Macaca mulatta: one gene and its partner. The protein of the gene in region 1 interacts with the protein of each later gene in a pairwise test. Links are inferred from orthologs where the notes say so. Each region holds a gene or a part of one and is shown in the gene's direction. Other genes may lie near its edges.

The links.
Region 2: the proteins of PSMA1 (region 1) and keratin, type I cuticular Ha8 interact in binary tests that used the Homo sapiens proteins (3 or more experiments, as listed by UniProt). The two-hybrid records come from large-scale screens. The link is inferred for Macaca mulatta from reciprocal best matches to the Homo sapiens genes PSMA1 and KRT38.

The regions. Positions count from the first base shown.
Region 1 is NC_133419.1:50,939,691-50,942,763, forward strand, and holds part of PSMA1 (proteasome subunit alpha type-1), read left to right. Parts: intron 1-2,779; coding exon 2,780-2,890; intron 2,891-3,073. UniProt on the Homo sapiens protein: Component of the 20S core proteasome complex involved in the proteolytic degradation of most intracellular proteins. This complex plays numerous essential roles within the cell by associating with different regulatory particles.
Region 2 is NC_133421.1:65,782,060-65,786,289, reverse strand, and holds the start of keratin, type I cuticular Ha8, read left to right. Parts: upstream 1-1,430; 5' UTR 1,431-1,492; coding exon 1,493-1,984; intron 1,985-2,171; coding exon 2,172-2,254; intron 2,255-3,047; coding exon 3,048-3,204; intron 3,205-3,548; coding exon 3,549-3,710; intron 3,711-3,792; coding exon 3,793-3,918; intron 3,919-4,095; coding exon 4,096-4,230.

The DNA.
Region 1 (3,073 bases):
GTACAAAGCAGTAAAACCAGTAAATCTCATGCAAAATGTCCTTCGTTATTTTCAGCAGATTGGCCTATCTTGGTATTATTTAGTTAACAAAAATATATATATATTGAGCATCTACCATGTGCAGGCACTTTCTAGGCATTCAAAATATAGTAAACACAACAAATACCTTTTCCTTCATGGAACATACATCCTAGTAGGGAAAGACAGTATACACATAAGTATATTATATAGTATATTAGAAGAAGATAAATGCTACGTAAAAAATAAAAAAGGGTAAAAGGAGAAAGAATGACTTAATTGGATGTAGGTAGGTGGTCAAGGATATTTTCACCAAGAAAATTAAATTTGAGGAAAAGATATAAAGGAGGTAAGTGAGTGTGAGCTATGCAGATGTCTAGAGCAAAATTATTCTAGGAAATACAAATGCAAAGGCCCTAGTATTCAAGGCAAGGAGGCCAGTAGTGTTGGGATCTATCATCAAGAGGAAAAGGAAAGAAATCAGAGAGGTAATGGAGTTCCCATAAGGCATTGTGGGTACTCTGCATTTTACTCTGAGTGGGCTATTAAGAGTTTGAGCAGAGGAATACCATGATTTGGTTTAGGTTTTAAAACAGTCACTCTGGTTGGCATTTTAACAACAGATTGTGGGCTGGGCGTGGTGGCTCATGCCTGTAATCCAAGCACTTTGGGAGGCTGAGGTGGGTGGATCACTTGAGGTCAGGAGTTTGAGACCAGCCTGGCCAACATGGTGAAACCCCGTCTCTATTAAAAATACAAAAAATTAACCAGGCGTGGTGGTGCATGCAGTCCAACCTGGGTGACAAAGCAAGACTCCATCTCAAAAAAAAAAAAAAAAAAACAGATTGTAGGGGTAGATAGATAGTGGGGCTATGGGTAGAAATAGTTTTAAGGCTATTCAGGTAATTCATGTGAGAGATGATAGCGATTGGAACAGAGTGACAGAGTTTAAGATGAAGAGTAGTGGTTCAATTTTGTATATCTTTTGAAATTACAACCAAAAAGTTTGCTAATAGATTTGTGGTAGGGTGTGAGCGGGGAATGTCTCTGAGGTTTTGGGCGTGATTAATTGGAAGGAAAGATTTATGATTTACTGAGGTGAAGAAGACAGTGGGAGGAACAGGTTTTAAAGTAGGCGTTGGGGAGGAAGGTCAGGCAGTCAGTTGTGGACATGTAAAATTTGAAATGCCTTTTTGTCCAATTGACGGTACAGAGTAAGCAGTTATAAGCAACCAATGGAGTTCCACAGAGAGTGATCCAACCTACATTTCAAATTTTTGAAGTCTTTATATAGAAATGGCATTTAGAGTCTGGACTGGAAGAGATTCCTAAAGGAATTGAATAGTTAGACAAGCATTATGAGGACTGGACCAAGAACACTCTAACCTTTAGCGACAGGGAGATGAGTAGGTATTAGCAAAAAAGACTGAGAAAGGTGGTCAAAGAAGTAGGAGGAAAACTTGGAAAATAAGGCATTGGAGGCAAATGAATAAACTTTCAAGGAGGAAGGGCAATGAAGTTGTCACTAAGGACTTGACAAGACAACCTTAATGGAATGATAAGGCAAAAACGTGATAGTGGAATCAGGAGAGAATGGGAGATGAGGAATTGGAGATAGCTCTTTGGAGGATATTTTCTGTTGACGGTCCACAGAAATGGAGTGGTGACTGGAAGAGGAGAGATAAATTGTTTTTTGTTTTGTTTTGTTTTGTTTAAGATGGAAGAAATTACATCACATTTGCTGCATGATTGTGAGAGTAATCGAAGTAAATTTAGGGAAGCATTTATGAGGAAAAATAATGAGAAAATTGTTAGAGCAATGTCCTTTAATAGTACATAGATGGAAGGGTTGGCCTTAGAGAGGAAATTTTAATGGGAAAGGAGAGAATCTAGGGACATAGGTATAGGAAAGAGTGGATACAGTGGGAACTTGTGAAAGTTCTCTTCCAATTGCTTCTGTTTTTGCAGTAATAAAGGAACAAGGTTTTCAGCTGCAAAGAGCTTGGAGAATGTTAGAAGTGTCTTAAAGAAGGGGAGCATGAATGATGTAGGAATGGGTATAGTGGGATCCAGGAACCACTAAGGCCTACTTGAAGTTAATGATCATTAATAAAGTGAGATTAGTCACTTTTATCAAGCCATTTTGTTATAGTGATTGGATAATTATTGTTTAATATCAATGTGAAGACTTTATAACCTGCATAATCTTTTTTAAAAAATGTTTGTAGAGGCCGGGCGCGGTGGCTCACGCCTGTAATCCCAGCACTTTGGGAGGCCGAGGCGGGCGGATCACAACGTCAGGAGATCGAGACCACGGTGAAACCCCGTCTCTACTAAAAATACAAAAAATTAGCCGGGCGCGGTTGTGGGCACCTGTAGTCCCAGCTACTCGGGAGGCTGAGGCAGGAGAATGGCGTGAACCCGGGAGGCGGAGCTTGCAGTGAGCCGAGATCGCACCACTGCACTCCAGCCTGGGCGACAGAGCGAGACTCCATCTCAAAAAAAAAAAAAAAAAAAAGTTTGTAGATAATATAGATCTTTGGAGTTACTCATGATAATCAAAAGTGAGTATTAATATTAAATCTGCAAATGACAAGGGTCTGCTAGTTTCCTTCTTTTTTCCCCTACCCATAAATGGTTTTTAAGGTTTTATTCAGGTGCTATATAAATCCTTATTCTGCTTTTTTCACCCAATATTTTATTATATGTATTTTTTCATCCAAATTATCTTATTTTACTTTTACCATTTCTTACCCTTCAGAATGTTTCCATTGGAATTGTTGGTAAAGACTTGGAGTTTACAATCTATGATGATGATGATGTGTCTCCATTCCTCGAAGGTCTTGAAGAAAGGCCACAGAGAAAGGCACAGGTATAATCATATCACAAGAGGCTTTAGTTCTATTGTAAGCTGCTGTTCTTACCACAGCTGTATCTGTAAATTTTCCATTTTGTCTTAAATATTGAAATGGGCCCATAATTCAAATGGCAACAGGAAAATTAAGAACTGAATAAAGTTAAATATTGAAAGGGCAGTGATCTCCATAAACACAAA
Region 2 (4,230 bases), on another chromosome or scaffold:
AGTACCAAGAACTATCTAAATGTGGAATGTGTAATATAACCATTTTAGAGACAGGGGTTTCCCCTGGCATCTTCTGATTTGGCCCTTGGAGAAACTCTGTTTTATTGTATCAATACCTCCACATCTGAGGTATTTTCTGAGATACAAAGGGAAAAATACACAACGTCAGATTTTTGTTTTACATCTTCACTTCAACTTCTTGCCTGGTTTCTAGGCCTTTGAATCCTTCTTAGTTCTAGCAATGACACAGTAGTTATCCTTGGGGGTGGGAGATTTGGTGGTAGTCAAGGTGAAGAAATAGCTTCTGCAGTTGAAAGAAGCTGATGTTGAGAATAGGCTTTATACTTCATAGTGGGGTTGATCTTAGAAAAATGACTTCACATCTCTTGTCCTCAATGGCTTATTTATTTATTTTATAAAATTAAGAGTACCCACCTCCCAGGTTGGAAGTAAAGATTAAAAGGTATCACTGCTCAATCCCCTAGCTCATAGGGTGAAGGCTCATGACTGATTTTAGAATCAAGGAAGCAAAGTATGAAGAGAGCCCACAGAGGCTCTGATCACTCAATGTTCTTTGGCTTTCATGAGTTCTTTTCTCAAAGTTCTTATTTGAGGTTCAGTAAGATTATTGCTCATTTCTTTTTGTTTTTTTCTGGCTTCTTGAGCTTGCCTTCTTGGTCGAGATAAGCCATGGTTTTTGGAGTCATCCTCATTTTCATAAGCTTCTCAGATACCTTGTTTGAAACATCACATCTATCCAAGTTACAGTTGTTCCCCAATGACAGGAACTGTTCTGTGCTTAACCAACTATATGTCAAGTGTCAGCAAGGTGCCTGACAAATGGGACATAGCTAGGGGATGTGTGTTGAGTGAATGGATTCATCTAAGTCTTGTTGCTCCTCAAAGTGAGTCTGAAAGGCAACCAACTAAAGAAAGAAGAAATGTAGGACTTCTTGATAACCCAAGGCCGTAACATCCACCAATACCAAGACTTAGTTTCTTCCTTGGATAGGGAAGGCTGGTTGAGTCTTAACCCAAGTGAGAACCATTGCCATTACAAGGGTTAGTCCTCCTGCTACACCACTGACCAACAGGAAAGTTTGTGTCTCCAGAGTGGAGACATCCATAAAGAGGCCAAACCCAGTCAAGGTCTAAGCATCTGATGGCTAAAATAACTTTGCTTCTTTGAAAAATAATAAAAACCTTCTGACCTCCCACCAGCAGCCAACCTGATTTCAAAGAGCCAAGAGGCATCTCAGATTCGTCAACATTCCTTTAATGAGCTGAGAAACTTTTCATGGTAAACTCAGCAGCTGAGTAACAGGATGATGGCACCACAACAGGTAGATAATCAAGGCAGGAGGTCAAAGCATTGGAGCCAACACCCACCCAGGACGGGGTATAAAAGGGCTGGGAGGAGAGGAGACCTCAGTCTCAGTGGCTCGGCGTTCCCAGCTGATCTGAAGCTCCTGTGCAGTCTCAGCCCTACACCATGACCTCCTCCTACAGCAGCTCCTCATGCCCTCTGGTTTGCACCATGGCTCCTGGAGCAAGAAATGTCTCTGTCTCTCCCATCGACGTTGGGTGCCAGCCCGGGGCAGAGGCCAACGTTGCCCCCATGTGCCTTTTGGCCAACGTGGCACATGCCAACCGAGTCCGCGTGGGGTCGACTCCCCTGGGCCGCCCCAGCCTCTGCCTGCCCCCAACCTGCCACAATGCTTGTCCCTTGCCAGGGACCTGTCACATTCCTGGCAACATTGGAATCTGTGGGGCCTATGGTGAAAACACCCTGAATGGCCATGAGAAGGAGACCATGCAGTTCCTGAACGACCGCCTGGCCAACTACCTGGAGAAGGTGCGCCAGCTGGAGCGGGAGAACGCGGAGCTGGAGGCCACACTCCTCGAGAGGAGCAAGTGCCACGAGTCCACTGTGTGCCCGGACTACCAGTCCTACTTCCGCACCATCGAGGAGCTCCAGCAGAAGGTGAGGTGTGGGATCACTTGGGCGTGCTGGGTCTGAGAAGGCAGAAGCCTTCGCAGGAGGAATCCACATAAGGTCCAGAGAGCTTTGGGTTCTTGGTTTCTCTTGGACATGAGCGTAGACACCACACGTGGAGTGGGAGCTTAGAGTATGATGCTTTGTGTGTGAACCGTCTTTCCGTTTTCCTCAGATCCTGTGCAGCAAGGCCGAGAATGCCAGGCTGATTGTACAAATTGACAATGCTAAGCTGGCTGCCGATGACTTTAGGATCAAGTAAGTCAGGTGGAGGAGGGCCAGGGTGACTCCCTCCCCACCCTCCATCCCAGTGCCCAAATACTTGTTGAGTGAGTGAATGTTTGTCCTGTCTTCCTTGCTAGATTCTCCACAGTAAAATTTTCATTACAATCAAAGCTGATGAAAGATGGAAGGGAAAACTCCTCATTAATCCAAGCATATATGTTTGTCCTCCTTCATTTATTTCCCTAAAATGGAGGATAAGGGAGCCTGAGTTCATTCACCAGGAGCAAAATGAGGGGATTTCAAGGATGAACTGAGCAAGACAGCCATTGGGTTTCATATATAAGTCAGAGAAGTCGTTTACAGATGAGTCTTTGTTCAGATTTAATTATGGAGCCCTAAGGTACCAGGCATAAGGTACCTAGGCAAAAATGAGAGAGGGGAAGACAGCTGAAAAGTAAGGCATAAGGAGCCGCAGATCACGATCAGGCACCTGGCTATTGCTTATCTTTGGTAACTGACAGTCCCCGCAATGGCACGAGTGTTGGTCCCAAGATGCATGATCTTAGGCAAGTCAGTTCATCTTCCTGAACTGCAGTTGCCACAGAATACAATGGCAAAAATGTATATTGTGCAATGTAGTGTTGTGATTGCTTCATTAGACCATGAGCTCTTTGAGAAGGGGGGCTGTGTCTAATTCACCTTCGAGGCCAGAGGGCTAAACAGTGAACAAATGAGGATCCAAGGTGGTGTGGGAGGTAGGAAGGCAGGGCAGCCGAGAGGGGCTCTTGGGGCATTCTTGTTGACCCTGTACCTCCCGTGATGGAAGGCTGGAGAGTGAGCGCTCCCTACGCCAGCTGGTAGAGGCGGACCAGTGTGGGACGCAGAAGCTCCTGGATGACGCGACCCTGGCCAAGGCTGACCTGGAGGCCCAGCAGGAGTCCCTGAAGGAGGAGCAGCTGTCCCTCAAGAGCAACCATGAGCAGGTGTGGCCCTGGCTGCTCAGACTCCCGGGGAGGGTGCTGGGCAGACAGGGGAGCTCCCTGGCCCCGGGGCTCTCAGAGCATTGTCTGGGCTCAGCTGGTATCAGGATGCAGGACTGAGGGGGGTCTGAGGGTCCAGAGGGCCTCTGTGGAAAGTGCAGACTTGCCTTGGGCACGAGGAAGGTGTCCAGGTGGGCTCTCCCCACTGCACTCTCAGCAAGACTTTCCCATTTGCTTGTGTGTGGGACTCCCCTCCCACTGCTTGCAGGGTCAGGGTCCTGGTGCTGTCTGCTCCATCAAAGGTCCTCTCTTCACACAGGCTGTCTGTCCCTTCCTCCTTTCTGCAGGAAGTAAAGATTCTGAGGAGTCAACTGGGGGAGAAGCTCCGGATTGAGCTGGACATTGAGCCCACCATTGACCTGAACAGGGTGCTGGGGGAGATGCGGGCTCAGTACGAGGCCATGGTGGAGACCAACCGCCAGGATGTAGAACAGTGGTTCCAAGCCCAGGTGAACGAGGGGTGGGTACAGAGCTGGAGAGTACCTGGCCTCCATCTGGGCAGGGAGGTGACTATGTCTCTCTGTGCTCTAGTCTGAAGGCATCAGCCTGCAGGCCATGTCCTGCTCTGAGGAGCTGCAGTGCTGCCAGTCGGAGATCCTGGAGCTGAGATGCACGGTGAATGCCCTGGAGGTGGAGCGCCAAGCCCAGCACACCTTGGTATGTGTCCTTCACCCTCACTGCACTGCAAATGCCCCATGCCATGGCCTAGTAGCCTTTTATTTTGGAGGTCTCACCGCCCAGGTTTCTCCCACCTGTTATCACCATCAAAATTTGGAGCATGTAGCAGTTTCCCTGGGGCCCTTGCACATTTTATCCCCTTATTTCCCACTACAGAAGGACTGTCTGCAGAACTCCCTGTGTGAAGCTGAGGACCGCTTCGGCACGGAGCTGGCCCAGATGCAGAGCCTCATCAGCAACGTGGAGGAGCAGCTGTCCGAGATCCGGGCTGACCTGGAGCGGCAGAACCAG